Lepisosteus oculatus: one gene and its partner. The protein of the gene in region 2 interacts with the protein of the main gene of each other region in a pairwise test. Links are inferred from orthologs where the notes say so. Each region holds a gene or a part of one and is shown on either strand. Other genes may lie near its edges. The genes, in order: pin4 and cep72.

What was found.
Region 1: the proteins of cep72 (region 2) and pin4 interact in binary tests that used the Homo sapiens proteins (3 or more experiments, as listed by UniProt). The two-hybrid records come from large-scale screens. The link is inferred for Lepisosteus oculatus from reciprocal best matches to the Homo sapiens genes CEP72 and PIN4.

Annotation. Positions count from the first base shown.
Region 1 is NC_090703.1:41,082,239-41,099,602, forward strand, and holds pin4 (peptidyl-prolyl cis-trans isomerase NIMA-interacting 4), read left to right. Parts: upstream 1-8,337; 5' UTR 8,338-8,504; coding exon 8,505-8,544; intron 8,545-10,739; coding exon 10,740-10,810; intron 10,811-11,180; coding exon 11,181-11,300; intron 11,301-13,669; coding exon 13,670-13,828; 3' UTR 13,829-14,129; downstream 14,130-17,364. Other genes in the region: mitochondrial ornithine transporter 1-like, read left to right, coding at 1-102, 1,543-1,715, 3,022-3,180, 4,926-5,050.
Region 2 is NC_090705.1:17,235,859-17,252,924, reverse strand, and holds the start of cep72 (centrosomal protein of 72 kDa), read left to right. Parts: upstream 1-8,375; 5' UTR 8,376-8,470; intron 8,471-8,767; 5' UTR 8,768-8,842; coding exon 8,843-8,951; intron 8,952-10,568; coding exon 10,569-10,696; intron 10,697-12,423; coding exon 12,424-12,616; intron 12,617-13,089; coding exon 13,090-13,204; intron 13,205-13,290; coding exon 13,291-13,469; intron 13,470-15,032; coding exon 15,033-15,103; intron 15,104-15,646; exon of another isoform or gene 15,647-15,756; intron 15,757-15,948; coding exon 15,949-15,994; intron 15,995-16,750; coding exon 16,751-16,942; intron 16,943-17,066. UniProt on the Homo sapiens protein: Involved in the recruitment of key centrosomal proteins to the centrosome.

The DNA of each region.
Region 1 (17,364 bases), on a different chromosome or scaffold from region 2:
CTTCTCCTCTCTAGTGCTGTGTCCCACAGAGCTGGTGAAGTGCCGGATGCAGGCTCTCCATGAAATGAAAGTGGCCGGCAAAACCTCTTTGGCATATCGGGTGTAAGCAACTCTTCAGCTGATCACATTTTATCATATGTTGCCGTTTAGGGAAGAAGGAGGGTGAAAATCGTACAGTTTCCAAATATATTAGACCAATTGGACCCATGCTAGTAATTTTCACACTGAAAACAATGGGTAGAGGTTATTGCTATTGGTTGATGGCTCCAGTGTCCTGGGTTAGAATGGGGCTCTGTGTGTGTGGATTTTGCTTGGGTTTTCTGAGTGCTCCAGTTTTCTCCTACAGTTTAAACACTATCCTGGTTGATTGGTGTTTCTAAAGTGTGAACTGCGTGTGTCTGAGAAAATGGGTGTGTGTCCTTCAATGGACCGGGGCCTTTTGCCTTTTACCATGAGCCCCGAGGACCCAATTCACTGTCTAAAGGATAAAGAGGAAAACAAAAATGCATGTACAAATATAATATGCTTTCCGGATGGTCTCTTCTCCTACATATTCATTTTGTTTTGTACCCTTATCGCTTAAAGTACAATTCCACTGTGTTAAGGCTATTGGTTTCACTGTGCTCTTGCTTAGCTTTGTGCCACTTGTAAAGCTCTGTATCTCCCAAGTTGGGCTGTGGGACTCTTACTCAGCCATACCCTGGCTTCTTTTTAAGACATGATTGAATGAAACAGGGCTAAATGGGACAAAAGTCCTCCTCTCTTTTTCAGTCTTTTTGTTCAATGTGTATTTAGAAAACCAAACACCCATGTTTATAGTTTAACAGAAGGTACAGGCATTTAAAGCTGTGGTTCGTTGGCTTTTAAACGTATATTTGAGGTCAATATTTATAGGATCATCCTGAGAGTTATAATGCCAGCTTTTGAGTAAGCATTAACTGTAGATTTATGTGACATGTTAAATACCTTTAAAATAAAACTGGGCAGTGGAAGTACTCCCAGTTTACTGTAAACTTCCATCATCCTGCTATCGGATTGTGGCCGCTATTAATATGATTCTGTCAGACAGATGTGGGTTTTACCCACTGTTTTATCTTATTTCAGACCAACAGTGTATGCGTATTTATGATGGAGTCACTATTTTCAGTCCTCCCTCCCTCCCCGTCACATTCTTCCATAGATGTTTCAGTAGGATAAAGATCGGGGAACTTGCAAGAGCCACACAGATTTATCCTAGACTGTTTTTTTTTTTCCAGATTTTTAAGGGGATCATGATCACGATATCGCATAACTTTCAAATTAAACCCAAACCCCTCCATTTTATTAGCATTGGTCAAACCACTGCAGTGACATCAGTAGCATGCTGGAAAGTGCCTTCTCTAGACTCTGAGCATTTTTACCTTTCAGTCATTGAAAGCTGCACCTCCATTATGTGAAAAAGCAAATGGCATAGGAAATTGACATGAACGTGAAACGGGGTGGTTCCTGTCTTTCTTCTTCAGGGCAGGTCTGAGGTGTTCATCTTTCTCTTCTGTGTCCCAGCTCTGCCTGGTCTATAGTGAGGGACATCATGAAGACTGATGGACCCCAGGGCTTGTTTCAGGGGCTAACAAGCACTTGGCTGAGGGAGGTGCCCGGTTATTTCTTCTTCTTTGGAGGATATGAAATAAGCAGGACCTTTTTCACTAAGCCGGGAATGTCAAAGGATGAGTTGGGTGAGGCTGGACTACTAGTCTTGGAAATGAATGATCATCTCTTCAGCTGGAGATTTTTAATGAGTGTAAAAGCTATTGTGGCTTGCAGGGGTTAGGGAAACGGAGGGGAGAACACTTTCATAACAGATCAGAATACAAAGTGAAAATATGCTGACGGTGTACAAACACGCACACATCTCGTATGTCTGTCCTCGAGTTCCTCCTTTCAGATTTAGCTTTGAGGTGAAGCCTTCGATTGGGGATTTCCGCTGGGGAGATGTATATGGCACAAACTGTCAAGAGCCCTTTTTAAAATGCACTTCACCAAAATCCAGTTTATAATCCATTTCAAGAAAATTCTAGTTTTTTTTCTGGGGATTATTATCTTGTACTGTAATTCTTATTGGTAGGATAAATTTATAAATAGAAATGATTGCCTGTGAAAACGGGCTGTCAGTGGATTTTATTTTAAAGAGAAATTCACTTATCTCTTGCAGCTGAAAGGCAGGCAAGCCATGAAGACAGAGGGGAGTAAAGAAAGACTTTACTAAATGAAGCAAGTAGGGTCCCATTTAGCAAACCTGGATTGGATTACTTTGCCTTACAGAAACCGCCTTAAAATATATAAAATTAGATTTGCAAGACTTGTTTAGAGCTGAGATCTCAAACTCCTTTCCTGGAGGGTTCCAGTGCATTGTAGCTTTCTTTCCACCTGAGCTTTGTTACTTATTTGGTTTAATTGCTTGATGAATTGGATAATTATATAGCTCTTTTCCAGGCCTACAGGGCTTTAAAGACACTATACCTGGAAATAATTGCATGAATCAAGCGACTGTTGGTGGGGGAATTAAATGCAGTACACTTTGATTCATCTAGATGGAGAAAATAATTAAATTTGTCCTTAATTAAATTGAGAACACAAACTACAAAATTAAAAACAAAAGACATTGTGGCCCTCTAGGAACTGAGGTGGAGACCTCCTGGTTTAGAGAAGTAATCAATGGTATTTTTTATAGGTCTTAGTAGTTGTAAAATTAAGACACATTGGTCAAACTATACAGAACCATTTTAATAAAAAACCCACTTGGGCCTGTATTACTCAATGAAGCATCCAGGATGTAAATTAGGGAGTCTCTACAAGCAGGTTTAAAATTTTATTTTTTTAATGTAGTAAAATGAGGAGTTTGTTTTTTTATTTTTTATGCTGTCCTCTTAAGGTAAATTCCTGGGAAATGTTAACATAAATATGGCCCACGGTATTAATGAGTGGGTTGCCCCGTGTGGCTCATGGCGAAGTCTCACTGCCCCTCTGCCCTCCTCCATACAGATGCAGCACTGCTGGTTGTGAGTGGAGGCATTGGGGGGGCATTCTTCTGGCTTGCGGTTTATCCCATTGACTCAGTGAAGTCCAGAATCCAGGTTCTGTCCATGAGTGGCAAGCAGGCTGGGTTCCTCGTGTCCTTTATCAACATCCTTAGAACTGAAGGTAAGAAATATTGAGCTGCCTTGGGCAGACTTTGCTTGTTCCTCGCTAGCAGGCTTGAGTTGGTCAATAGCAGAGGACTACGGGGTACCGTGTCACATGGCAGCCCAGGGGGAGAGCCTCTGAGCTTTTTGTGGTCTAGGGAAGGTGATCCAGTCTATAGCTCACTCTCCTTCCTCTGGTCTTTCCACCTATATGGAACTGGAACCTGGTGAGGCAAGAATCTGCTTGTACTGTTTAATGGGCTGCTCAATGGCAGCATTTACATTCATTGCTTGAAATGGCTTTAAATGGCAGTTGTTAGCACTGGGGCCCTGGGTTCAATTCTGGACCTGTGATCCTATCTGCATGGTGTTTGTATGTTGTATGTTCTCCCTGTGTTCACGTGAGTTTCCACTGGTTGCTCTGGTTTCACAGTCAGACGTATTGGTACAAGTAGGTTTGTTGTCTATGGGGAAAACTGGTCCTTGTATAAATACAGTATGTGCATGACTGTTTGTGTCTGGCTGTCCTGCGATGGACTGACATCCTCTCCAGATTGTGTCCTTTGCTTGCCGGGATTGGTTCTGGCTCCCCTGCGACCCCGTAGTGGATGAAGCGCTTTGAAAATAGCATAAAAAGTTAATCTATCCAAAGGCTACTGTCAAGAGCTGCAGAGCCCTTGGTCAAGTCCAGCAGGTTTCTTGCATAATCATGAGATACTTTGTTGTACAACTAAAAAACACAAAGTGGTAAAGAAATTGTTGAAATATACAAATCACTGTACTCTAAACCGCAATCAGTAGCTGAATGTTCATTGTTATGAAATGTTTATGATGTACAACTCACTGTCTCAGGGAGGCTTCCTAAGGATAACATCCTGGTTTCTGATTTTTCCCTCTCCTGTCCTCTGGTAAGTGTAATAGGATCATAAAGGCACGTTCAGAGACCGCTTCTTCAAGCAATCTCTCAGATTTATGGAATTCTACCTCTACCACTGGCTCACACTGATGTGCACTTTTAAGTTGTATGTTATTTACGTTTGTTGTTTTTGCTGCTGCTGCTGCTGTTCTGTGTTTAAGTTTAGTGTTTCCTTAATGCCTTTTAGTTGGAACATGCATGAAAAATAAACTGAACTGATTACCTGACAGAGCACATTCAAAACTTTCTGAGTGCTTTGTTCTTAGGTGAGTTGTAGGGTGATAACCAGCAGCCCTATCACCCTGCAACTCGCAACCAGCAACGCACTGAAGCTAAGCAGGTGTGAGCCTGGTCAGTACCTGGATGGGAGACCTCCTGGGAAAAACTAAGGTTGCTGCTGGAAGAGGTGTTAGTGGGGCCAGCAGGGGGCGCTCACCCTGCGGTCTATGTGGGTCCTAATGCCCCAGTATAGAGAAAGGGGCACTAAACTGTAAAAAGGCACTGTCCTTCGGATGAGATGTTAAACTGAGGTCCTGACTCTCTGTGGTCATTTAAGATCCCAGGGTGTTTCTCGAAAAGAGTCCTGGCCAAATTTCCCAGTGGTGTTTACCAGTCATGGTCTCCTAATAAGCCCCATCTATGAATTGGCTTCATTACTCTGTTCTCCTGGCATTGTGTCTCCTCCCGAATGAGAGCTGATATGTGGTGAGTGTACTGGTGCACTATGTCTGCCGTTGCATCAGAGGTGGATGCTACACATTGGTGGTGGAGGGGAGTCCCCATTACCTGTAAAGCATTTTGAGTTACCTTTTATAAGCAATTTATTAATAACAATTCTTCTTCTTCAGGTGTTACAGCCTTGTACTGTGGACTGACCCCCACTGTAGTGCGAGCATTCCCTTCCAATGGAGCCCTTTTCCTTGCTTATGAACTGACCAGAAGAGCCCTGAGTGACAAAGTAGCTGCTATCTGAACACATGCCTGGTTTGAACTGTTTTAATTACATCTGCTGTCATATCAAAATGTTTCTGCACAAAAAAGTATTTTAACACTTTTATTGTAAACTTTGTAAATTTTGAAATGTCTGTGTTATTCTATGCCTTGTTAACTGTATTATTGATGTTTTGTAAAATTTTACCCTTTTTCAGGCACTATTAGAATCCTAAAAGGTATAAGAATTTAATTGGGGTATTTGATTTTGATTAAGATTTGTGGAGCCACAGTTTTCACATTCACTTTAATAAGAGGCAGGAGCAGAATTTCATGGTGCTGTGCTCAATTTGTTTTTGTTTGAATGCAACAAGGCTTTAACACTTCATTTCTGTAAAAAAATGTCTTTTAACCTAGCCGTGTACTATTACAAAAGTGTTTTACACAAAAAATAAAGTTTTTAATTTAATTTTGTGACTCTTTCTATTTCCTCGCTGATTTATTGAACTGCATCATTATGTTCTGGATTTTGTTCAAAAAATAATTTTTATAACCATATATAGGATTTTTCTTTTACAGTTTATTACTCAAAACATTCACTTTGTTAAAGGCACAGTTACCTATAAAGCGCCTCAAAGCTGGGTTAGAATTTTTACAGTTAAGTAATTAGACCAGCTGTCTAACAAACTATGAATGCACACAGACAGATTTAGAAACATTTATGAACTAAACAAGAGAACTATGGTAACCAGAGAACACCCATGTAGCTGTAAGGAGAACATGCAAACTCCACATAATGTGCTCAGGCCAGAATTATTTATAAAACTGACTAGCAGTTCTTGAATTAATTTTGTTTAATGGTTAAAACTGTAATCATGTAATCATTTGAACAGCTTTCTCTGAAGTGTTATGGAAAATGAACTGAATATACAGCTTTAACAACAAAGTTCCTAACTTTGGTTTCACTTCACATTGTATACAAACCATTGGTTTTAAGTTTGCCGCTTGACATTTTACAGTATGTGGTTTTTGAGGGCAGGATAAATATCATGTGCCCTAGTTTTTTCCACAGTGGGATGACCTGCTATCATCAAAAACCATCATCGCCAATTTTATAATTAAGTTTTATGGAAAGAACACCAATTAATGAAACCAAAGATAAAGAAATACAGTTTTCAATGGTAGTCTTTGACTAAAAAGAGACATCTTCAGATATTGATTTAATCCGGTCAGTTACGAAAGCTCAGGTTACTTAATAAATATTTTTCATTTTTAAATTGTTGAACAATGCTTCAAAGAATACTGCTTTAAAATCCCATCTTCCTTAATTCTTTTCAGCAAATATTTTTTGTTATTTTATTAGATCACTAACAATAAGTGAAGGAATTATTCTGGCCTTGGATTTGATGGTTTGCTTAGTAAACATTGGCTGTTGTGCCATAGGCATGATTTAAGTTTACACACCCTGTTGGAGCTATTTCAACCAGAAAGTCCTCACCTTTGTTTTTAGGAACCATTTTAAAATGTCTTTTCAACATTGTCCTTTTAGCCTGAGCCAGGTTTGCCTTATAATTGAAAAACACAGCTGTCGTTGTGTTAAAATAATTTATCAACTTCTATATGCAGTGAAGGGATCGGGGCTGAGGTAGATCACACTCGGCAAGAACATTTATATAGATGACTTTGAAAGTAATGAAGGGCAACAGAGCCAAGGAATTGGGAAGACTAGACTATCCCACGCTATAAATTCCTGAGGTCTCCTTCAGTTAAATTGGAGAGACTGTCATTAGAACACACACAACATGTAGACTTCAGCACACTCACCCTAGTATCTATAAACGAGAATGACCCTGAAGGGAAAGAACACAACATACAGAGCGGAGAAAGTGTCAGTGTTTTAGACAGCCAGGGCATTCAGGCTGGACAGAGATCACATTGCTGTGGTCAGTGTGGGAAGAAATTTAGTCAGTCAGGCAGCATTAAAATACACCAGTGAATTCACACAGGAGAGACCATATTGCTGAATTCATTGTAAGAAGAGGCTCACTCACTTAGAACAATTTAAAAACCTTCTGCGTATTCACAAAGGAGAAAGACCATGTTTGTGTAACCAGTGTGGCAAAAGCTTCAGTCGATAAGAAGGTTTAAGAACACACAAGCGAATTCACACAGGGGAGAGACCATACAGCTGCAGTCAGTCGAGACAACTGAAATACCGCCAGCAGATTCACAGAGAAGAAAGAGTATACTGCTACCGTCAATGTGGGAAGGGTTTTTTGTTGTCAAATGACTTGAAAAAGCACCAGCACACACACTCTGGAGGGATGTACTGTTGCAGTCAGTGTGGGAGAAAATTCATTTGAATGGAAAATTTAAAAGTTCACCCACAAACTCACAAAGGACAGGGCTCATACTGCTGCAATCAGTGTGGAGAGACATTTGGTCAGTCAGTACATTTAAAAGCACATAACCAAGGAAAGAGAAAATGAACGTGCACAAAGTGTGGGAAACGTTTTAGAAACTAAAGCAAACTGAAGAATAACTAGTACTATCAGTGGTGATAGTGGAGACTCTGTAGCACTGTCACCAAGTCGTGTGATATCGGAGACAGATTATTTTTGCTATAACAGATACAAGCCTATTTTATGATTATTTAAATTAATTTTTATTTATATTCTGAATTTATTAATTTATTCATATATACATTTCTTAACCTGTGTTCTTAGAAAGCATGTTGCATCTGTGCAGTATTATTAACATTTCTCATCAGATTGAAGCCTGTCCTTAACCTAGGAGGTGACAATGAATTCTGTCTACCTGTCAGTTAAACTGCAGGTCTCTCCATTCTGCAGCATGCCATGGTGCTCAGCTCAATGGTGCTAATAAACCATTGAACACTTGCTCAAACCTGTGGATATTTCTTATCCATGTGATTGTGTACCTTCACAAAACAAATAATTGCAGTTTTTTCGTAGGTATATTTTTATTACTAGGCAATTTGTCCTTAACTACAATTGATGTTTTAAATTGTGCACATTCATTTACAGTATAATTGCAGTAAATTTACTATCTAAATAAATGCTTGCTTTGAGAATAAATAATTTTTTATGTGAAATAGATTTTACGACTACCGTGCTTCATTCATTGAAATTCCATTAATTACACAAAGCACACACGAATAGAGCAACTCGCAGGCGTTTTCAAACCTCCTGGCTAGGTGGCGCTAGTGTGATGAGGATTATATCTGGGTACATACACACCTCTGTAGGCTTTCACTCTTTGGTTGTTGTGTCGCTGCTTTACTGCTCCGGCGCAGGAATTCTAGCGATGCTGTGCGACTTGTCGCGATTTATTGACGTTTTTTCCTGCTGGGCTCACGCTGATTAACCTGGGCAGAACTGTTGCAGTCTGCAGACTTCTGTAAGTCTGCGTGTTATGAGCCTTGTTTTTATTTTAAATATTTGAAAGTTTTTCGAATTGAAAAAAAAAAACGGACAATGCCGCCGAAACAGGGAAAGGCTGGCAAGGGAGGAAAAGGTAAACAAAGTTGTTGATTTATTATTTTTATTTAATCCACACGGCATTATTAGCAAGAGACTACTAGTTGGGGGCTGCTGCAGTCGAGGAGGTCCGTTACATTTTAAATGAAATGTTGGTTACTCGCGTTTTTTTTTGTCAGGTATTTTAAACATTTGAATTTAATGTGATTTAAACTGTTCTTAATCTATGCATACACCCCGTTTGCTAAATCCCTAGTTTACAGTGTCCACATGTGAAAATACGTTATATGTGTGTCTCCAGCAAAACGTATGTAACTGTATTTTTCCCCGAAATATTATTCTCGGGAACTACATAATACTGTGTACTGTATTTAGATCACATGGTCTGACTGATCATTTCTGTGCTTATACTACTCAAATCTAAGTACATACAAACTTGACACGGATGTGGCTGTCTCTGCGCTCTCCAATACCTGGATGACTCAAACGTAAAGTACGACAGGACTGACGTAATGCTTCTTGCCGCCTTCTATTACCTATGTAAAGCCACTGCAGGAACCCCATCTGTGGATGGCACTGTACTTGAATTTCAGTCTAAGTTGAAGAACGTCGGGGTGATATTTATTCCCGACTTGACGTTTGATCCACATTTGCAACATATTTAAAAAACATCAAACATATCAGAAATATCACCAGGCTATGTCCTGTATTGTCCCTCGCTGTAGCTGAAAAGCTTGTCAACACATTCGTCTTCTGTAGCATTGATTACTGTATCTAAATCCACACTGAACAAACCTCAGAATGTCCAGAATTCGTCAGTCGGAATGCTGACCACGTCATATGCAAGTGGTCACGTTAATCTGGTCCTGATGTCCTTGTACTAGTGGCTTCCTACTGTATAAGGTTTTGTGTCAACTCATGCTCAAAGGCTCTACATGACTTGGCCCCTCAGTACCTGTCTGAATTATCATCATCATCATCGCAACCTTTCTTCATCTGACTCTGGGTGTCATACGGGTGACAGGGCCTTCTCTTGCTATGCCTCTGAGCTCTGGAAATCTGTCCCCCAGGATATCAGAGAATCATCTTTCCCGAGCGCTTTCAAATCCAGACTCAAAACCTTCTTCAGAAGGGCTTTTATTTAATTGATGTCCGTGTCGGCCCCTTTGTATCTTCTACTGCATTCTAAACCTTTCTCTTTCTTTGTGCTAATTTTGGGATCTCCTGTCTTTGGGACCTCACATGGTCTCTCAACACTACCTGTCTGATCAAGAAAGCACAACAGCGCCTGTACTTCCTAAGACGGTTGAAGAAGGCTAAGATATGTCCCCAGATCCTCACTAACTTTTACAGATGCACTACAGAAAGCACACTGACAGGCTGCATCACAGTGTGGTATGGCAACTGCAGTGCTGCTGACCGCAAAGCCCTACAGCGGGTGGTGAAAACTGCCCAGTCCATCACTGGGGTTACCCTCCCATCTATCCAGGACATTTATGACAGACGGTGCTTGAGGAAAGCTCTAAGCATAATCAAAGACCCCACACACCCCAGGTACAGACTTTATGATCCTCTACCATCTGGAAAACGGTACCGGAGCATTCGGGCCCGGACTACCAGACTCAGAGACAGTTTTTACCCCCGCACTATCAAACTGTTAAATTCCCAGCCTCTCTCACTCTCACTCTCACCTCACCTCTCACCTATGATCTGAACCTCAACAGTGCCTTCTTCCTTTCTTTCTTACCAAAAACCCAAACACACATTGAAAATCTACCTCTACCATACATGTCAAAAGCACACTCCCCATAATTTCTATCCCTTTATTTTATTCTGTTGATGCATATTTTTGCACATAACCTGTTAACTTTTTGTTGTTTTGCACATTGCCTGTTGTTGTTTTTTGCACATTGCCTGTTGTTGGTTTTTGCACACTGCCTGTTGTCTCTGTCTTTCTTTTGCAACACAATTGTATTGTTGTTGTTTTTTTTTCTCTTTGTACTACTTATGTCCGAGAGCTAGCTAAATAGCATTTCGTTATACCATATACCATGTATATGAGTATAATGACAATAAACTTGAACTTGAACTTTGTTACTGTTTTTGTTGTTTTAACTCTTTTCTGTACTTTTCCTGTAAAAAATCACTGTGAGAAGATGCCTTTAAAGTGCTATATAAATAGTTGTTTTTTTTACCACTGTATCTGTGCTGGTGTCTTTCTGCCATGTTTAGGAGCTGGCGCTTCTGGAGGTGGTGACTCTGAGAAAAAAGAAAAGCCGCAAAAAGGGGGAAATGCAGTTAAGGTACAGTGGCACCGTTGAACTTTGTGTCAGACATTTGTAAAGTTTTTCATCTCCAGTGGGGCATTAAAATGGACTATTATAACTCGGTGTTTACCTCCCTAGCGTCAAATTGCCAAAAAGCATCCAACTTTGTTAACAATGGAATGCTTCAAGAATAATCTTATGATTATGAAATCTTGTGCAACGTTGAATAAATATGTTACGAAACACTTCATGGGATCTTGTGATAGTGTTTTCAGATGTTTGTATTGGGAAAGCCGATTGGCAGTATAATACCAAAAAGAATTCCCTTTCTGTACTTTTCTAAAGTTTACTGTAGTTTGCATGTTGATCCCCTCTCTCACACACACACACTTATAATTTATTTCAGGTCCGACATATTCTTTGTGAAAAACACAGCAAATCAATGGAGGCCATGGAAAAACTGAAGTCTGGGGTGCGGTTCAGTGAAGTCGCCTCACAATACAGTGAAGACAAAGCGAGACAAGGAGTAAGTGAGAAATGCATCTAGATGAGACGGGCTAAAACAAATGACAGATTAGAATACCTGTAGACAGCAACAGAGTTCCAGATTTTCAAGTTTCAGATTTTTTTTGTACCTGAGTACAATTAAATGCTTACTTTATGTGTGTTTCCACACATAACAGATGGCATCTGAAATTGTTGGAGACCAGAACATAAAAAAAAGCATGTACGCCAAAAAGATAGTGGAAAGCTGCAGTGTAAAATACCAGTAGCAGCCGTATACATGAGAAAAGTAACAACTGTAATTTTCAGCAGCATTCAATTAGTAGTAATATGCAAAAAACAGGTAGTGACAGTGTTGTGAGTTCAGTCCAAAAATAAAGGGGTATAAATGGGAAGTAGGAGAATTAAGGGGTGGTATTAAGAAATCTTATGGCCGAGAAAGACGTTTTCTTTAAAACTTGAGGTTTGGGCTTTTATACTCCTCAATCTTTTGCCACAAGATAGAAGAAATGGCATGCCCAGGGTGGTGTTGATCTTTAATTCTATTATCTGCCATTCTGAGGCAGTGTGTACTGAAGATGGGATGAATGGAGAGGAGTTCCATTCTGTAGCTTTTTTATGGTTGTGTTCTGACCAATTACCATAACAAACTGTAATGCATCTGGTGAACATGCTTTCTCTGTTGTACATTTGTGAGTGATTGTGAAGACATACCAAATCTCCGGAGTTGTCTAAGGAAATAGAGGTGCTGGTGTGCTTTTGTGATTACTTCGTCTGTGTCACGGGACCAAGTCAGATTATTGATGAAGTGAATGCCCAAAAACTTGATGCTGCTGACCATCTCCAAAGCAGCTGTGTTTATATAGTGTGGCCTCCTCTCTGCTTGCCTAACCTAAGAGGATAGAATGCCCTTAGATTATAATAGTATAGAAAGAACAGCACATAGATTATAATCCCTAACTGAAATAATAAAATCACACATACCTTTGCTACTATATGTGAAAGTACCAAATTAATAAATAGTTTTGCAGTCCATGAACATTATATTTAGTAATTTGTTTTATCCCAACCCCTTCTGCACAAAAAAAGTAAGCATGACTAATTAAAGGCTTTATTCACTGCACTTTTTGTAACTGGTCTTTTATTAGTCATTGCCTCTCACCGCCACTATAAGAGTCTAATGCTAACTTCCCTTCAGTGCATGGGAGATGTTAATTTTTTTAAATTAATGTATTGAACATGGCTAATTTAATATGAACCAGATTCGGTACGTTCAAGTCACTTCTCAGAAGTGGGCCAATTCCACCATACACTCTAAAGAAAGAAAGGTGAAGTCAGTTAAATTGAATGGTTCTCAAATTTTGGAACAGTATCTTATTTAGGGTGAAAAACATGTAGATGTAGGAGACCAAGCCATTTCTTCACTGTGGATGAGTAATGGGTGAAATGTTTGGAAGAACCGTAGTGTCAGGTGTTGTGCTGAAATTTGTGTACTGTGAATTTAAGAATCAATATTGAAGCTTTTCATATCCAGTTCTCACTCCAAAAATAATTTCCATTGTGAGCTCTGTTTATTTACAGTGTGGCAGCATTCTCAATACTGGCTGTTCAGATGTGCAATAACCAGCTCTTAGTTTCTTATCCCTTTAGTTGCCTCATTGAAAATGTCTTTGCTTACCTAATATACCTGTACACAACAGTCTGGTAAAAATCATCTTGTAAATTATTATTGGTGAAATTGCAAAAGGAAACAAAAACTGAAAAAAGAAAGCCGTTTTACAAACTACAGATTAAAAAAGTCATACTGATCCCTTTTTGTTGTGAGGATGAAGCAGAGTCTTCACAGAATTCGCTTGGTCTTTCCTATTGATGGGGTTGTATGAGCAGTAAATGTGCAGAGCACATGATGGAATTGAGACTCCCATATACACTAGTAAAAGCTGAATAGACATTGTCCCATTTACATATAGATAAGTGATGTTGTAAATACTGGTTTTTATTCACACTTTTGGTCACTGGATGGTGTATTTTCTCAATTTTATTATCTTCTCAATTGTATACAGTACTACAGTATTTTAGTGTTAAATTTACATGAATAAAAATCTCGTATATTATGGTAAATTATGAATAGCAGTAGCCATTAACATTGTTTCAACGTCTCTATACCTTAGAATCGCTTTCACATAATGTTATGGACACAGTTTATGTTGCTCCTGTATAATTTACATATTCTTGTTTTTTCTTTGTTACATTTTTGGTAGGTACAGTATAATCATGGTCCTGTGTTTGCAGTGCAGATTACTGACAGTTTTCTAAGTTGAGCTTTTTGGTTAGGAATTCTGTCCAGTTGTACAATAAATGCTGAGCTGGTCTTTCCTCTGGGTGTGACAGGGGGACTTGGGCTGGATGACCAGAGGCTCTATGGTTGGGCCTTTTCAAGATGCAGCTTTTGCCCTGCCGGTCAGCACCATGGACAAGCCTGTGTACACAGATCCGCCAGTGAAGACCAAGTTTGGGTATCACATCATCATGGTGGAGGGCAAGAAATAATGCTTCAGGATTTGAAGAATCAAGCTGGGCATCATCCCCTTGTTTTTTAAAACATTATTTATTTTTGGGAGAGGAGTTCAGAACTCATAGAGATACTGCTTGTTTGATGTAGAAATCTTAATACCATCATAAAACTCTCAAGAAGTGGTTACATGCAAGCATCACGATGAGGAAAACGTTCATAGCTGTTAAAAAACACAATCTGCTTTGATTTCATATGCAATTGTAAAACACTTTGGATACATAAAGAAAATGAGTGTGGGTAGGGATTGATTTGGAAAATAAAATCCCAGTAAATTCACTGCTCTTTTCTTGTACCAGATTGATTTTGAATGGGAAAAGGTGACTGTGTTCTTTGTGCATAAAATGGGAGGACTTTTGTGACAAATAAAAATAGTTTTGCACTGCATTTCATATAACAGTAAAAAAAAACAGCTTGTGTAGATTTTCCATGACTTTCTTCGTCCTGTTAAGAAACAACTCCTGGAATGTTTGGGGAAATTTTTTTATATCTATTTTGTATAGTGCTCTCCTTGATGTCTTGAGAGGGCAGCAAGATCAAAACTTGTTTTTGCTTTAGAGTCAAACAGTTTTTTTTTTTACCTTGGGATTAAAATGAAAGAAAAGTACAATGTATGTTTTATTATTGGGTAATTCCATGCATATATTTGATTTATTGGAACAAATACATATGATACCTCAGTTCTGGGGGACCATAAGTAGTGTATGGAGACACATTCACTTTAAGTAAAATTTAGAGTGAAGGTCAGTATTGGATTGCATATTCGTGTTAGTACTTCATTACGAGCAACATCACTTATAACATGTTTAATTATCTTTTATAGTAACATAGAAAAATCAGACATTAGAGGCTACATTTTGATATGATATGACTACATATTCATATTCTGTATTAGTTCTTATGAAATCTGCCTTTTAAGATATTTGAGTATTTTATTAAAGTTATTACTTCTTGGGAACTTTAAAACCTGTTCTGACTTTTTTTGTCAACAACAATATTTTTTTTGTTTTAATGTATCTTTATTGGGATTTTTGCAACAGTAATCTTTTTAAATAAAACATGGACCAGATATATAATATGGTCTAATATATAAATCACTACTTTTTATGGTGTAATGATAGTTTGTGGTGTAATGATAGTTTCCAAGAGAAACATTACTTAATATTGTGCATTAAAGAGAGGCTATTAAATAGTTTTTGTTTTACTACATACTACTTATGCGACGTGCATACTATGGAGGTACGTATTCATAAAGATAAAAGGGAAAGCAGATGTGTCTAACATAATTAATAATTGCTTACACTTATATAGTGCTTTTTCTGGACACTCCACTCAAAGCGCTTTACAGGTAATGGAGACTCCCCTCCACCACCACCACCACCAATGTGCAGCATCCACCTGGATGATGCGATGGCAGCCATAGTGCACCAGAACGCTCACCACACACCAGCTATCAGTGGGGAGGAGAGCAGAGTCAAAGATGTGGATTATTAGGAGGCCATGATTGATAAATCCAATTGGAAATTTGAACAGGGTTACACCCCTACTCTTTTCAAGAAACCCCTGGGATTTTTAATGACCACAAAGAGTCAGGACCTCGGTTTTACATCTCAGCCGAAGGACGGTGTCTGTTTACAGTATAGTGTCCCCGTCACTATACTGGGGCATTAGGACCCACATGGACCACAGGGTGAGCACCCCCTGCTGGCCCCACTAACACCTCTTCCAGCAGCAGCCGTAGTTTTTCCCAGGAGGTCTCCCATCCACGTACTGACCAGGCTCACACTGCTGAGCTTCAGTGGGTTACTAGTTGTGAGTTGCAGAGTGTTAAGGCTGCTGGCTAAACTTAAGCTCCTTATGTGAATTACATAATGGAGGAAGAAATCGAGTTTACGCTTCATACAAAAATGAGCTTCGTCTGATTTTATGGGAGCTCTTGTCTGCTGCATTCTGGCAAACATACGGTTAACTGTGCGTTTGTACCAAGTTTCTCTGCCTTTCATGGATCTGGGTCACTTGCAGAAATAAAGAGATTTTCGTTAATCTTTTAACGTCGTTTTATATTTTATAAGCGCGTGAAGAGAAACAGTTTAGTGAGAGATGAAAAATGAGGTGCAAAAATCCGAGAGCTCTTTTCATGAAAGAAAGCTCCTCCAAAACGCATTTATTCTGCATTTCACGTTACCGCCTCCTGCAATGCTTTAAAAAAAAGGTTAGCGAGGCTCGTTGAAGGTGTGGCCATTATGTCAGCGGCTATTGGCTACAAAAGGATGGAGTCAGATGACGTCCTATTTCCGGGTTTTCTCCGGAAGGTGAGAGGTTACTTTCGGTCAAACATTTCTTCGTTCAGAGAAAGAAGCAGCTCTTGGCCGGCGTGTCACAGGTAAGAATTAAAGCCGGCTGTCACTAACGCTCTCGTTAGTTTTACTACTGTCATGGCTAGTTACTGTGTATTTGCTGTATTAGCCTAATATACCTAACTGTCAACAATATTTAATATATCCGAAAAGCTAAGCGAAAGTTATCTCACGCCTTTACATTAAAAACATCCAGTAGTCCTAACGTGCTTGCCTCATGAGGAAGCAAAACGTGTCCGTAACTGTACTAGTTCCTCTTGTGTGCTGGGACGTGTCTACAGCGAGAACTAACGTGTTTTAGCGATTAGACAGGTAGGTCATATCTTGACTGGCTTTGTGAAATAAATAAAACGAAAGTGATGGGAGCACTTAGTTAAACCCGATTTACCAAAACTAGTTGTATGCGTCTCTCTTAATGTGATTTTCGCTTCCGTGATGTATTTCCATCATTAGCCGCTGCAAGAAGAAAAAGCGCCACGTTAAGAATAACATACCGGAAGCATGATCAGGACCTCGCCTCTGGCAAGAGAAGCGTGACAGTTTCAAAATAATCAATGCTGTCCGCGCAGTAGTCTGAAATTAATAGTTAGACAGGTGATTGTTGTCCACGCATTGTTTTCTAACGCTCATAGCTGTAGATAGCTCTAGGGGATCAGAATACGGTACCCAACAGAAGTGATAGTGTTTGCCCTATAATGTTTTATTCATCTAAACGGTCGTGATGAAAAGGAAATAGATTTTATCGAGAATTGTAAGGAATCGGTAGCTTGATTCGAATTTTTTACGGGTTTTTCTTGGGGAAAAAGGTGACCATTGTTGATTTTAAATGAAATCTTTGGTATGTTAATGAGCGAAGACGATCTGTAAAGACAGTGTTACCAGATAGTTTTACCCTTTATCTTGCGTGCATCAAGTGACACCGGGTCCAGTCTGCGATGTAGGTGATAGCCATATTTGAATCCCTTTTTTTGTGTTCTATAATATAGTCGGATTAGGAATATTGAGTCAAGAAACGTCGCTTTCCTGTCGGTAAACACCGTTTTCCTGTAAAAAGAACCCTTAAAATTAGTTGATTGGAATTTGTTTTATAACGCTTTCGATTAAAAATTAATCTCCTGCGTGAAGTTAATACTTTGCCCTTAGATCTCGGAAAACAC
Region 2 (17,066 bases):
TAGTCCTTTCAGAGTCCTTAATCCTTTGCGGTGTGCCTGTGTGTAGTCGTCTGCAGAGGTTTCTGTTCTCTAGTATAGAAGAGAATCTTTTCTTAGTTCGGAGTTATTGTTTGTTTTGCCGGTGAGAGGAACACATTCGGTTCTAACCTGCGGGCGTGTGGGGGTCTTAAAGCGCAGCCCTGATTAGCATCAGGTGTGGTAGCTACGCATTCCCACACACCGCGGAGTGGGGAGTGCAGCGGGAGGTGAGTTCCACTGTCACAAAAGCAAGATTATATTTTCAATTTATCCTTAAAAATCTTTATTTAACAGACAAGACTGTTTGGGAGCCATAAAACAAAATTCCAATTGCAGAGCCATTTAAGTAGTACAATCTGTGCTCCATTTTAAACTTGTCGCCATTTGAACTTGTCTTCTTCAAGTTTTAGAATGAGTAAGCTTTCTCTCTACTAATCAATTATTATTATTATTATTATTATTATTATTAATAATAATAATAATAATAATAATAATAATAATAATAATAATAATAATAATCTGTGCATTGCTTTGTATATTTTCTTTAAGGAGTTTCCCCTCAGAAAATTAAGGATAGGTTGTGCTGTAGATATAAATGAATACACTTTCACAGTAATTGTAAATCTCCCTGTACTGTTTAAATTAATAATGTTTAAATTAATAGTGCAATGTTGCTCAGAGGTGTGACCTCAGGAGTACACAGTAATGCTTCATTAAGGATATGAACCTGCTACATTCCAGTATCAATTACATACTTCTAACTACTACTCCATACTACATCATATACTATATTACTGTACATGCAGCAGATGCACTTCTATAGGACTGCAGTGTTTTTTTAAACTGTATATTTTAAGTGTTCTGTTTGCATTCTACTTTTCCACATACAAAATAAAAAGAGGTAAAGAACACAAACTTTGCAGAAATATTAAGAATTGTCATGTAATGTAACATTATGAGCCCACAAACAGAAAAGGTATTTTCAGTCTTCTTATCTTCTTGCGTGACCATAGGAGATGAAATTCAAAAGATGGTTTATTGTCAGTTGCGTGATTCATTGAGGACGTGCCCAGCTTTTAACCTCCTGAGGTCAAGTCAGGCCTCAGTAGGCAAACGCAAATGACAGAAGGAACAAAAAAAATGTGTTTACTGTAATAATACTGCATATTCTACCTAAAAGGGGATGCATGTGGTTTCCCTTTAAGAAAGTGTATTAAAAGTATTCACCAAAGTATAATTATCCTCATTGTGCAACAAACATTTTGTATAACGGATGTATATTGTTTTCAACACCAAAGAACTGATCTCTAAAACTCTAGATAGAGTTAGGATGGTTAGTGTGCAAACAGGATTCAATACTAAATCAACATTGAATATCTGACTCACATCTATACAAATTACTAGATCTTATCATACCATCTAAACAAATCAGAATCAAACAGTACAACGATGTTATTTTGTTTAAATGGAAACTATTAATGGTGAAATTAAATTATGTCAACAATAAGATAGCTGATGATAGGACAAGAAAGATCTTTCTTGTGTTGATTTTCATCCTGAAATATTGCACAAGTGCACCACTGCTTTTAATTCATGTTAAGCTCTACAGTAAATGTACAGGACTATTGTAAGTGTAAAACAACAGATCACAAATACAAAAGTGAAGTATGTATTTTTCAGGCTCAGCAGTATTCCTTTCCGACTGCCAACTTCTAAACATCACAATGGAAAAATACTCTGCAGGCTCATCTATGATTTAAATGATAAAAACAAATTTAGACACAATGAAGGCTGAATACAACTTGAAAGTCAATGTATATACATTTCCTAAATAATACAAAGGTCTTAATGTCAGATTCTTACTATTTGATCTAATGCTGCAGTAGTTATGCATTGTAGATATGTTTATGAACTTTCTCTCAAGTTACCTTTCATTGTATTTTTTTATTATTGAAAGTCTGGGTATGTTGTATTAAGTGCATAAAATGGTTTCTGTTACACCACTCAGTACTTTAAGTAGCTGAGTAAAAATCAGTTTTAATCCTACATGTGGATTCTGACCTCACACAGAGGCTTTGTGCCATTAGTTTCTCCCCCAAGCACATGTGTATTTTGTCATGATAAACTAGACAACAAGCCAACCAGGCAGTATGAGAAGAGACTGAGAAAGAAGGAAGAGACATGTTTCCTGGTAAACTATTAGAATGTTTTTAGTTATTTCTTCACAAAACAAATACAATGTTTTAACTAAAATTGGATATACTAAGTGTGATCTCAATATCTTAATTAGTAGCCCTAATATTAGATTTATTTAAAATTTACATTGCAACTGATCATGTACAGTATATGGCTACATTCTTTGGATTAACTTAAAAGGACCTGTGAAATCAAAGTTGTAAAGTATAATACTGAAAACAAAACTAAGTATGCTGTGAGTAGTCCAGATATGTTTTAGTACTAACATTATGCTAGGCTTTACAGGCTGTTTGTCAAGAATAGAACACTAATCTTTATTTTACTTTAAAATGACATAAATGAAAGAGCAGCTAATTATTTTTCTGTGTCACGAAAGGCTTACAACTGCTTGTTTATAAAATGACCTCAATCTTTCCCAACCTTAAAGGGATGAAAGAGATGAAAGAGATTGATGTGTTTTGAGAAATTCTGTGTTTTTGTGTAACAGTTTGGGAGCATTTGTTTGTCATGTCTATTGCATTACAGTTTGGCCACTAGAAAAAGTCCAATCAAACTATCTGAAAGTTTTACTTTAAAGTTTTTAAATCACTAAATATGGTTGCTTTTATCAATATATGGTACTAAATATCTTTATTAAAACAGGAAAACTTAATGAAGCTGAAGATGGATTTGTAAAAATGGCAAGTATCATCTTTATAAATTCACAAGGAATATCAACACCGAAAAAGGAGGTAATCACTGAGAATAACTCAACTGAATATTACTGTATTGATTTTTTTCTGCTGAGTAACCATTAGCCTGGAACACAGGATTCTCCAGGCATACAGAGCACACAAGGTAGTAGTTTCCAAGATGCATCATGGGCCTGCAGTATCATACTGATATCATTAAAAGTGTTTTACAGTAGGTTGGGGATATTCAAACAAAATTGTGAGCATTGCAGTTTTAGAGAAACATAATAGAAAACCTCTATTTGGCTCTCTCCTATGTCATTTATGGAAGATAAGGTGACACACAAATTATTGACGTTTTGCTCATCTCACTGTTCCACTGCTGTAATGAAATATTTTACTCATAATGACTAACACATTGAGCATACTTTAAAAACTCCAAGAGAGACTGCTTCAGAACCTCCGGTGGTCTGATAGTCTGCATTCTTTGTCACTATAGACCTTGACATACTGAATGAAAGAATTAGGAAGGATGCTTTCCCTTGGCAAATTGGAGAAAACAATTCATAGGAAAACAAGGAATTAATACAGGATGGGGAAGTTTATACAATAGGTGCTGGTTCAGTAAACATGGCTTGTTTCTCCTTCCTCATTCCTGCATTCAAGTTCAAGTCCTCATTCAAGTTCAAGTTCAAGTTCATGTAACAGAACACTCCTTTTTGGATTGCACTGTATTGTGTTGTTAAAACCCCTATCCAACACACAGCATAATAGATGGTACAGAAGAGAGATTGCACCCAGTGACAGAGGTTGACGATCGTGGGCCCTGGTACAAATACTTTTGGTTTCTCCCACTCCTCAGACTGTACTTCAAGCACCATAATAAAGTAAAATAGCGAAAACACTCTTTGCAGTCATGTCTTCTTCCTGTCTTTTTCCATAAAACTTTGCTTTGTAATTAGCATATTTAAATATCACAATCAATATATTTCGCATACAGCTGCAGTATAAGTGGTATAAATGCAATTGACTCATGAATGCTATAAGGAAATAATTATTTTCCAAAAGATATCATGTTTACCTCCCTATGTGTCATATTGTGCATTAAAAGTGGGTATCATTACAAAGATGTAGGGAGGCACTTACTGTAGATTCATGGTGTCCCATCCTTGGCCGGACACTGGTGTAAAATAGACTTTTCCCAGAAGTCACCGATTGACACCTATTTCCAAGATCCACTGACAAAAGTATTTTTCTAGGACACAGTCTTTCTGCAGAGAATGATTGAGAAAATCATACTGTCTGATCTAGAAAGAGAACAGTTCATTCCATTTCACATGTAACAATGGCCTATAAATGATCGTTGTGCACTGTGCTGGTTTGATTGCAATGGAATCTATCCAATTAAGATCCTGTTAATATCTTTTAAATACTAGAAGACAAAATTAACAAAATATGACTCAGCAAAAAAGGAGAGGGCACCCACCATACTGTACATTTAGAGCACGAGGATGGAACTGAAACATACAGTACATACTGTAAATGTGAGAACAATGTTGGACATGCACTGCTGTGTAAATGTCTTAGATGTTTTGCATGTTTTACTCTTCATACTTAGTGTTTTTCCTTAGAGGTAAGACTATGGAAGTATTTTAATGAAGTGATAACTATTGTGTTTTCTGATAATAAATAATCCTTATACAGCAAATATGTGTTTTGTTGTATAAAAACAGAATTTTAGATTCATGGAAGCATAGAGAGCAACAAATCAAGTTAATGATAAAGGGCACATACAATATACACATTCATATACAATTTACCTTGATTTGCTGTGATAGCGTTTTTTAATACGTTGTTCTACAGTATGTGAGTCATAGACTGCTAATTACCTATTCTCACCCAAACTAACCTATGTTTACTGAGACTCAACCTTGTTTGATTGGGACAATTGAAGAGTATGTTTTCTATTTTATCTAAGAGATTTAGTCTATATTTGTGCCTTTGAGGAAATATCCCGGAAGTTACTTTTGAGGGATATACCTTCCTGATTTGGACTTCTGAACACCCGACCACAAGCCAGCCATCAGAGTGATCTCAGTCACCCTCAACTCAAGACCTCCTGCTATGCACCTAATAAAAGAGAACTGTCTTTCACCGGTTTCCTTCACACAGATTTCAAAAGGGCAACTTCTGGTTAACCATGATATATTATGATTCTAAATGTCACAGACTCACCTACAGGCTGTGTCCCAGAATGACGGAAGTACAAAATTTATAAGACGGATCATATTACAGCAAGTGACTTGGAGAAATATGTTTTTCAAGATTTTCTTTCAGGAACGTCATTAATTGTCTTTAATCATAAACCTGGGTTGGGCAATCATGGGGGTTTTGAAGGTTTAGTGAACAAAAATAAACTGAACAGATAAATATAGACTTTGATTTTTACTCAATCCTGTGAAAATGGGTCTTTTAGAATATCAGTTCTGGGTTTTGACCCAACACTCAGCACAAACCTTTCCAACCATTGTGAAAATAGTAAGTGAAATGACACAAAGACTAAATACACATTTCAGAAGAGCACATTACTTAAAACCTTCTTGGTGCAGCCTTTTTGAAAAAAGAGATGCACTACAATGCTTTGTGAAGTGTATTGTGAGACGTCTGCGATGAACAAGTGACCGGAGCTATAAGAGTGAGCAAGATTTCCCGTGTTCAAGACCACTCAAGACAACCACATCAGTAGAAAGCCTTTCACAGAGCAGGTTTTATATTTTAACATTTTGGAAAAAGAAACACATTTTCAGAATCTTTACTTTTTCGTTACCATGTTTAGTTTAGGAATGTTCAATGCTGAGGAGAAAAATATTTCCTGTCATTTGAAATAAATACCTACAGTTAAATGTTAATAGTAAACTTCTTTCAATAGTTGCTGACTTACAGTACTTGCTTCTTTCTTCAGTTAGAAGTATGTCAATTAATAATCTAGCATTATTTTCCTTAATTAAACTTGACATCTTGGGATTACGTTGATCAATTTGAGGATGCAGGTTGTGAATGCTGAGAACAGAGACATTTACAATTGAAGAACTTCAAAATACAGTGCCTTTCCAATAGTTTGGTTATTACTCAGCGGATCTGGAATAAGGTGAAAATTGCCAGAACAGTGTTGAAACAAAACCACCAAGCATCATGCAAAGATTACAGAGAGATCTTATAGATCTTCCAGTAAGTGGGCAGACTTAACCTTTAACAATGACCTGAGGATATTCCATGAGAAAACATTAAAACAATAAGGTTACCTACTGTACAGTAAGTGCCTAAAAGTAAAATAAGAATCGGTGTCATGTGAAACTCCTTATGAATCTGCAATTACAGTACAAGTAATGTTAGCTGGAATTTAATGTCAAGACACATGATCCCTGCAATGGAGACAACTCTATCCATCATCACAAAGCCACTAATTCTTGGTAAGGGCTGTGGCAACCCAAAGTATACAGGAAACAGGAGCTCAATCACAAAGGGTGCCTCGTGCAGCTCTCATGGTAACAAATTTGAATACTTAACAAAAAAGAAAACACAATATACAAACTGCAGTGACAAATACTTAAAGCAAGGTGACACCATCTTGGAGTAAGAACACTGTCATTCAGGCCACAGGACAAACTCTCTTTTCGACTTTATTGTAAATAGAATAATAAGGGTACTTGAGTCTTTTAGTCCTTAAATCTTGGTAAAAGGATAATTTAGCAAATGTGATGTCCTATTATGAGTGCATATTCAACAGAGTCTTGACTACAGAAAGACTGGTATCTTAGATGTACATTTAGTTCTGAAATACACACTAACGAATTCCATGTTCTTTAGCTTAAAAGCAAATGAGACATAAGAACTGCAGCTCATTGTCTGATGTTAAACCCGTCAGTAACTGTACAGATGGACACTGTAATTCACTGTGATATCTTACAGCCAACATAGTTCAAATGTTACAAGATGATTTCCAAAGTAATAAGGAAGACTCCAACTTTACAAACTGCACCTTAATCAAAGTAAAATTGAACTGTATTTCTTTAGAGTGTAGTGTTGTGTCTTCAAAGTTCATTCTCGATTCTTGGGATAGGTCCAATCAAGAGGTCTCTTGAAAATAAAAAGAGATGTGAGAGTATGCAGGCACATTAACCATTGTCTGAAGAACAGTATTGATGAAAGAAGGAAACACAAGCATGGTGTGCTTTATTAATGAAGAGTCACTGTAAATGATCAACCAAAAAGCAAAAAAAAATCAGATATCAGAAATTTCATTCCAATTTCCTGATCCTTTCTAACATATCTGAGATTGAATTGTCCATGCTGCTTTGTAATGAATTTCCCTAATATTTAATCAATTTTATCTGAGTACACTGAGTTTATTTATCTTTAACAAAGTTATTTTAAACAATAACAGGAAAGGGATTTCTTCACTTGAAGTTGTAATTATTAACAAGCTCTTCTTTGCTTAACTTTCTTATTGATCGAAGCAAGAATAATTCAATAATAATTTGACAATTGTTTACTAAGTGCTGAACTAAAAAACATTCCCTGTTACCCATTGTTGGGGTTCTTTGCCTCACTGTTAAACCTGCCTTATGAGTTGTGTCAGTTAAATATCATATAATTGGATATAACCAGGATTTCTTGAATGACAGAGCTTCCGCAGAGGAGAGTACAGCTGTCAGTGATGCAGTAAGGTGATTCTATACGTTGAAAAGTTTTTTGGAGAGGAAATACCATTTTAGTTTCAGAAGCTCCTGATCTTTTAAAATCGATTGTAATGTGCCACAGTAAACTAATAAACTGAATATGAATATCTGTAGATTGTTAGTGCTCCATGTTAAGAGAAATGCTTTAAAAAGAGGAATATTTGTACATTAATCTAATTGTCCCATTTTGAGTGCAAAGTACTCTTCTTTTTCAGAAACTACAGAGCATCTAGTGTGCCCATTGCATCAATTAGACAAATTGTTTTCAGACACAAATGTCCATTTTACTGTGGATATTAAACATTATCTAACAACAATCTATTTATAGAGCTTTGAATGGGAATGAAACAATGTAAATGCAGCCCAGAAAGAAATATATTAGACCTGCTATGTTTGAGATATAGAACACTGAGTGCTAGAAAGTTAAATTATCTAAATACCTCTTCCTTTTTTGTTCTGGGAAATTACTGGCAGCAATCTCTGAAGTGAGAAAAACAGTCTTGAAACAACATTTCCATAGCTCCTAAATTGTGGTTTCATGTAAACTAAATACAGCCATCCATTTCGTTATTGCATTTAAATTCGAACTTCGAGAAGCCCAGAAAACTAGATGGACTGACGCATTTTAAATAAGTTAATGTCATCATTGTTTTAAAATATTGTGTGCATATTTACTTTTACACGCGTATAACCATTGCACGCTTCTCACATTTATCAGATGGGAAGAAGATACCGCCATGACATAACATTTTCGCGCTCCAACTTAAGTCGGTTAAGAACAAAGGTGTTCGGACGCCAGATGACCTGAGTGAAAAGCCGGCCGGGAAAAACAGGTTATTTCAAAAAGTAAGCGCGTCCTTTTTATTATTCAATATAGTGTTCACTTTCCATGCTGAATAAACTATGTTTATGTCAGCTCATAATTAAAAGGTTATTCTTCAGGCGTTTGTTAATATTCCAATATTTTCTGATATGAAATGAGTATCCATATGAAGTGGCAGCAGCAACAGCAAGATCTGATTTTTTTTTATTTCGATGTACTTGCTTTTCTGTAACCAATTACGAGGTTCTCAGAGTTATTGTGTGCATCTTCACCACTATTAAACAACAATAATCTCGCTGACACAAAACTGCTTTTTCTAGACTTCAGTCTTTTCAGTGGGATAAGTGGAGCTGCTGCAGCTAAACAGTGGCTCCTTCCGTCAGGGTGCAACGCGCATGCTCGCCCCGGTGAACCCCCCGACGTTTGAAAGGATGGCGGCGGACGGTCTGCTGATAACTGAGCAGTGGATACGAGAAAGGCTGCAGCTGCAGCACAGATGCTTGGGTAATCGCCACCGTCTCCCTGTGTCGCAACTGAAACGTGAAGAACACACACTCGAACGTTTTCCAAGCCTTTGCTAGGCTACTGCGTTGCGCTGCGAATTGTACGTTAGTTTCAAGCCCCGAAACGAAATTCTGTTGTTTCGGAGAGGTTGGATTGCTTGTTGTCTGCAGTCGTGCGTCAGGTGTACGGGTCCGTGTAGTTTGCTCTTCTTGTGCATCATAAAGCACGTTTCTTGGTTTCGATGCTGTCTTCTCTTACACAAAAGAACAGGGGCGCTCTTCTTTAAGGAGATATCAGTAAAAACCACATTGTCCTCGCGAAAATATTGAGTTTGTGTGGCTGACGCTTTAACTAGTGACTTACATTTGGATTTGGGTCACTTACTGTATACTGTAGCTGGGCATTTTAATGCTACAGTCTAAGGAAGCACTGTACGTAGGACTTCAACCTACATACAAATTGTAGAAGGATAGTTTGTCTGGGTACCAAACCATTAACCTGCTGTCGATTAAAAAGCCAACGTTTTACTGAACGAGCAAGGACAGACGTTTAATCTAGATGGGTTCCGAATATCAGATGAAAAGGCGCATTTTCGTTCAAAGAAAGACAATGCGTAGAAAAGCTCGATGTGTAACAACTGTGTACTATTTGAACTCGATGTATTTCTAACATTTTGCAAATCATGATCTTTTAAGAATAATCTTGACTACAAAGCATGTAACACTTCGCAAGTCCCAGCTCAACGTCCTGATCGTTTTTGAATGGGTACTAAATGACAAGTATTGTTTTTTAATTAGGACAGCATACAATCTTAAGTATCCGTTTTCATGAAGTTTCAACCCACTAAACAAAGCATTTTACCTTATTGTGGTAACGAGGAGAGGACTACAAAATTAATAGCTCATTGACGCAGTGTGATGGTTCTGTATATACTGTAAATGTGAAAAATGTTTTATTTTTGTTGTCTGTATCTAATGTGAGGTAAATGAAGATCCTCAAAAGTCTACTGTTTAGCTCCTCAGAGTCTGGGTTTGGGCAACTTTTAACAGAATTTTGTTAGGCTGTATGTTTGCTTTTTCTGTAACAAGTGAGCTTGTTTCTGCAATCATTATACCAATGTACACATTACTAGAAAGCATATTCCTGGGATCCCAGTATCATGACATCCCAGTACCGTGGACTGGACAGGACACAAGTACATACCGTATACTGGGCACACACAAGCACACAGTTACTATTGAAAGACTGCAATTATTACATATTTCCAAAAAACTTTCAAATGTGTTTTCCTTTTCTTTAAAAGATAAACTTCCCCCACTACTATTAGAAAAATAAAATACCCAGGAAATTTTCTTTCTCACATAGTTTTGCAACTCCTAAAAGCAGTACTACTTTTTATAGTGCGTTGGGTTTATGTACTGTAACCTTTACATCCCCTTGTCCAAGAAAGCTAACTAGATTTTCAAATGGCTACTACATTCTTGTTCAGTCAAGGTGTGTTACATGACATCCATGATTGTATGATATGTGAAAAGTTAATTGCTGTATCTTTAATATAAGCTTTTCTTTTTAAGTTTTTTCTTACACAAGTCTAATATAGAATTTCTTTGCTTCCAGCGGATGTCAGATCACTGTCTCTTCCAGGGTCCTATGACGTGAAGATCGCCCATGTGGGAAACTCTCTAAAGAACTTTGTTCATTTAAAGAATCTCGACCTTTCTCGGAATGCGCTGGTCTCGATAGAGGTGAATGGAAGCTAATGTTTGTCCAACTATGGCTTTATAATATAGTGCAGGGTGTCCTGTCGTGGTCCTGGAGGTTCGTGTCTGCAGGTCTTCGCTCCATCTTGGCTCTTAATCATCTCTTTATTGGCTTCTTAATTTTAATCAATTTAACAGCTTCGCTGGGCTCTTCAGATGTTTCAGGAGAGCTACAGAACCCTGTCACACTGGCCCTCCATTGCTATGAACGGGCACCTCTGATTCAGCTTATTAAAAGGAAGAAGAATATAAACTCCAGTGAATACAGATTAAGTACTTACAAGGGTATATTTGCATTAGATCAGTGGGTTAAAAACTGAATATAGATCAAGTCCCCATCTAGATCTCTGTTTCAGGTTACAGAGATAAATTCCCTTTTCCCTTTTTGGTGCAAAAGGCAGTTACAGTACATCTTAAAGTATTTAACCACCTGCATTGTGTTGAAAAAAACGACAAAAATCTTACGCATTATTGAATGTCAAGCTATAAGTAGTAACTAAGTGACATATCAAGGTCCTACGTGTTGATATAAACTTGAGTTCATCATAAGATTTAGAGAACAATCGGCTCATTTCTTGACAGATCACAGACTAATCTGCATCTGTCCAAAGTTTGCTAAAAGTATTATTTTTGGTTTGCTTTCTAGGAAATATCTTCTTATAAACATAATAGCAGTCAGATGATATGATTAGATGAATTACTCAGCATCAGTGGGTAGAGTATGAAGATAAGAAAATTATTTTGGGCATGTGTTCTGCTCATCATGTGTGAATCACAAACCTGTAAGCAGAAGTATGAAATACGTCTTCTTCCTGGAGTAGAAATCACTTTACAGGAATGAAAGATTTACAGGGTACCTGCCCCAACTTTGTCAAGACGCTTCTGCTTTCAAAGTACAAACAGCAGTATGCTGAGTGTCCCGATTCTGCTGTAGGGAAAGAGGAACTCTGAAGAACTTTGCTCAAGAATACAACATTTGTGTCCCACCCAGGATTTGAACACATAAATCTCAGGTCAAGAGTTCAGAGCCTTAACCACTACTCACTGATCGTAATGGGCAGCAACTCAAGCCAGCAAATTCAAAGAAATAGGTGGCTCTCTTATCTTTCCTCCCCCAGTCTTGCAAGCTGTGTCTGCTTCCAGAGTGTACTGTATGTTAGGTGTAAGTTATTGTAGGTCTATGTAGTAAGTAATGTTAGGTGATGCCTAGGAATTTAATACAAAACAAGCAGATAAAATACATCTGAACAAGTGTCTAAGACAGCTCCAGTAAGCTTCCTTAAAAAACAGTGCAATGTTTAGAAAGGTTGTTAGAAGGCTATATATATATTATTTTGCTCTGCTCTTTTGCCCACACTGCAGTGGCCTGTTCCAGTCTAACCCCAGTGCTGTAGTTCACATGAGCGAATGAGATGTTAGCAGATCAGTCAATCCTGTACTGTGTTCTGGAGGTCAGGGCCATTCTTCTCCATCTCACCTAGAGCCTATTTAGCACAGGTTTCTGTGGTTCTAAGATGCAAACCAAGTGGATTTTCACTCTCCTTCTTGGAAGGGTCTGGTGGTGTTCTGCCATGTTGACATTCCAACAGCAGATTAATCGCAGTGTCGCAGCTGTGAAAGAAAAATAAACTTTCAGATGTGCTGCTTCACCACTGAAAAGGAGACATTTATAGGTCATTTCAAAGACGTGGTTTGTTCATGTTTTTCTGCAGGGGATACAACACTTAAAGAAGCTTGAAAAGCTTAACCTCTATTACAACTGCATACCTTCCTTGAAAGCCATCTTTACCCTCCGGAAGCTGACTGCATTGAAGGAGCTGGATCTCCGGCTCAACCCTGTGACAAAAAATGACCCAGATTATCGTCTCTACATTGTTCATATGTTGCCCAACCTTAGAAAACTGGGTAAGTGTTTTGACCAATCACTACTGTCACTTGCAAGAGTAATTAATATCATATCACCAGTGCTTGATTTCTTTTCAGAGTTGTGTGTTTATCCTATAACAATGGCTAATACTGTAGGTGTTTATCCTATTAGCCATTGTTAGACTCTGTTGTCTTTTTCTAGACTATTTTACAAACTGTTAACATTTTTAAAATTACTAGCGTATATGCTGTGTTTAACTTTTACAGTGTCACGGCTTCAGCATATAGTCAAATTAGATGTGCAGATAACAGATATGTTACTGTACACCTACAGTAAGTTTAACAATTGAATCTATTTCAGTTATTTAGAACCTTCTTGCAATGTGAGTGGTGATTCACCTTTCTCTTTTAAAAGCCTTGTGAATCTATGACAGATTTGATTTCTCCTTTGTTTGATGCCTTGATTTTTCCTCATTCTGTTTTACTATTGCATTGGGCTGTTATTCCCCTAGATGATCACCCTGTGAGGGACAGCGAACGCAAAGCTGCTGTCATGCATTTTACTTCAGAGCAAGCTTTTGAACACCAGCACGGTTCTTCATCTTCCTCAGAGTCCAGTGTGCAGAGGTGCAATACTTACCTCTTCGCCTCACTAACCTTGCTGCATGTGTGCTGTATGTGCACAGTGTTTGATAATATCTCTTCTGGTACAGGTCCGGTCTTAAGAGGGCATCCTCTGTAAGGCTCTTCTGTAAAAAACGCTCTGTCCTTGATGAAGATGACGAAGCAGTGCTAAACCTTGTTGCCAAGAGTAACTGGGACTTGAGTAAACCTGCCGGCCTGACGGGTTCCACTAAGAAAGTCCCAGAAGTCGAGCTTTATCGCTTACGGGGTAAGATGTCTAATTAAGAAGTGGACATGTACAGATTTAGCCATCTAAACCAACTGGTCACCTCCTTTGATTTTGGATGAATGACCCGTATGAAAATGAAAGGGAAACTTAATCAGTGTGATTACACAGTAACGCAGAAATTAATTTTTGTGTTTGTGTTCTCATGAATGAGTTCAATCTGGTTTCACCTTTAGCAACTGAGCAGTGTTAATACATTGGTGTCCACACCTCCCTTTTCAGTACCGAGGGGAAAAAAAGAAGAAGAATTTAATATATTTTCTTACATGTTATAGATGAATGTAGTATTTAATAACAGTATTTAACAGAGGTAGGCATACCAGTGCATTCATGCAACACGTTTGCCCTGCAGCTTTGATCTGTGATCATTTAAATGTAATATGCTAAAACCACAGCTCAAAGCCATCCTTACATTCAGCAAACACAGTACTGGTTTTAACATTTTATTTCTTGAATACAGATAAACTAGGCTACCAGTCAAAAAAGCCACTTGAAAAGTGATAATGCTAATTCCACTCAGTCTGTGTTGCCAGTGAAAGCTACAACTGTGGATTGTGCTGTGGGGGAACTACTTCCCCTCTGGTTTTGCACATCATTTGTCCCACCTGGACGTTCTGGAGACATCTCACACCATTCCTTTTCTACCTGCCTGTTCTTCACACATTTGTGGTGAAGACTCAACAGTTCTCTGACAGTGCTTTTCGGTGCTTTTTGTGGCTCTAGTCATCTGTACAGTCAGTCACGTGTTGCAAGGCGTGGTAGCGTCTGAACTCAAGACAGAGCAGAACGGCACCTCTGAGGGGCAGGCTGGACCTGTCTGGCAGTTGCAGAGTCCAAGATCTGATCCCATACAGATTTAGAGTGAAAGCAGTGCTTTATATTTTGGATTTCAGGAGTTTGGGTTCAAAAAAGATTTGTTGAGCCTCTTAAGTATTAAATATTAAAATTAAGTATTTATTTCCTCCCACAACTAGGTCACTGACTTGACAAATGCTCATTGCGATATCCTTTAACCCAAGGGACACCTAAAGGGAAAATCTTCCAGTTTTTACAAGAGACAGATCCTTGTAAACAGGATCTGCCATCATACTAATACATGAAATGTGTATTTCAAACAAACAAATTAAAATTGTATGTATATCCTGTACATTCAGCAAAGTTATTGCAGTTTTTGCAATTGGAAAAAAATGCAGTTTTGTGGCATTTAATTAAATTAACAGTGTTTCTGCACCATCTGCTGATGGGAAAGTGGAAGCATTATTCTATTTTTTTTTTTTAAATGAGATTTTAAACCTGTATTGCTTAAACTTTTTTTTTCCATTTTGAAGCAGCTGTAATTGTAACCTGAGTAGAAGTTTGGAGATCAGCATGATTGGGAATAATTTTAACCTAGAGTCCTTAACCAATTTTACATTGGCTTACATTAAGTCTTTAATTACACCATTGTTTCATATAATTGCCTTTTGTACTTTTCTGTACAAATAATTAACTGCTTCTTCTGAGAGCTTCTCTTTTAGGATTTGAAAAGATGTTTTGTTGTTCCAGGTTACCATGGGCAAGATACCCATTATTCGAATGGCTGTCATCCTTCTGAAGAAAGTACCATGTTAAAACAGGTGAACACCCACTGAACAAACATTCCCACACATATTCCTGTTCCTTTATTATGTTTAGATTTGTAATAAGATATATCACGCATTGCTGCCTTGCAGCTCTGGAGGTCAGGACTTAATTCCTGGGTGCTATCTGCTTGAGGCTTATATAGTCTCCCAGTGTTTGGGTTTTTGCTAGGTGCTTCAATTTCCTCCCACAGTCCAAAGATATAATGGTGGGTTCATTGGCTTTTGTAAAATTGGCTGTGATCTGAGTGTTTATGTCTTGCAAAGGACTGGTGTCCTGTCTAAGATGTATCCTGCCTTGTGCCTATTGCTTGCTCCTCCATGACCCTGTATTGGATTCAGCAGTTTGAAATGCAGTTTGGTACTTTGTAAAGCTGTTCAGGTGTTTTACATTGATTTTGAGGTAGTCGCTTTTCCTGGTCAGTCCACTGTGTGGTGAATGAGAAAATTAAGTCGTAGTACACAGAAAAATGTTTGTTACTCCATAATTAAAAAAAAATGGCACAGAAAAGGATGCACATTTAATTCCGTTTTATCAGCATACTCTGTTTCTCTGCATATAGTATAAATCCTTTGCCTTTTACTAAAGATTTCCGTGGAGAGGAGCACGTATGAGTTCCATTAATATTCACTTGTATTTCTTGAGACGGAACATGAAAAAACCTTTTTGTTTTCATCTTCTGTTTCAACACGTTCTGTACAGGTTGTTTCCAAATCATTAACAACTTTTTAATGGCAGCTTTACATTCTTGAGTGTTCTTTTGATCTTAATAATAATACTACTAAGTTGCACTAGAAGTATTCTGATTACTTGGACTGATGTGTTAACTTTTGCCATTCAGGATTCACCAACATCAATCCTCAGAAAGCAACCGGAAATGAAAGAAAGTGAGTCCTCATTACTCTTCTTTTCCTAATAACATTCCCCATAAGCATAGGTGTAGAAATGCATATAGAAACTGCATATACTTTAAGAATGTTTATTATATTTTTTTAAAGTGTATTTCTACGTTTGCATGTTTATATTATAATCTTATAATCTTAAATAGTCCACTTTTCAAAAGAAACATAGTCACACGTTTTCCTCACAAACAGGAAGATAACAAATAATAGGTTATTCATTAACTCATGCTAATCCACATTCTGGCAAAATAAAAAGCATTATTTTATTTACTACCAAACTGAAATGGCTTTATAAGGCAGCTAACGTTCTGAACAAACTAAAATTAAGTTACTAATATACTGTACCTTGATCCACTAATAAGTACTTTTTCTAAGGAAATGAAATGTGCTGCTTTCTCTTTCATTCCAAATAAATTTGTGATAAAATGCTGTTTTAAATGCAGTTCACTTTCAAAGGAGATTCTGGACATCTCTGATGCTTGCAGTTATTGTCAAACTTGTCTGTTATACTGTATATTCACATTTCCTGTTTCTGCTGGCCATGTAACTGTGATCCTTTGACATTTGTCACAGGCTTTATCTTAGCTGCCTAGGATGGATTGCACATCACTAACAGAACAATTCTTACCCTGAGCCACTATTTCAGATATAAAAAGTGGTAGATTTCCCTAATAGAAAACATCTATAATAACATCTGCTTATGAGAATTCCTGTCTAAAATGTTAAATTCTGTTCCTGCAGATCAGCCTCAGGCCACTGTTTCCTCTCCAAGACGTGCACCTTTGAGCAGTGTAAAAGGAAGTGAGGGTATGAGGGTGACATTTGCAGAACCCAAGTCGAAGGACAGCCATTCTGCCCGTCAATGGGAATTTGAAGATAAGGCCAAGCCTGGCTACAGTGTTACAGTCCAGGGACACTTCACGCCACACCCAGGTGCGAAATACCACACAGTGTGAAGTAATAAGTGCTGCTTTCCCAGTCATTCAGGACCTAATATTCCATAAAACAAGAAAAGAATATTCTCATTTGGGTTAATAAACATATAGTACAAGAAGAA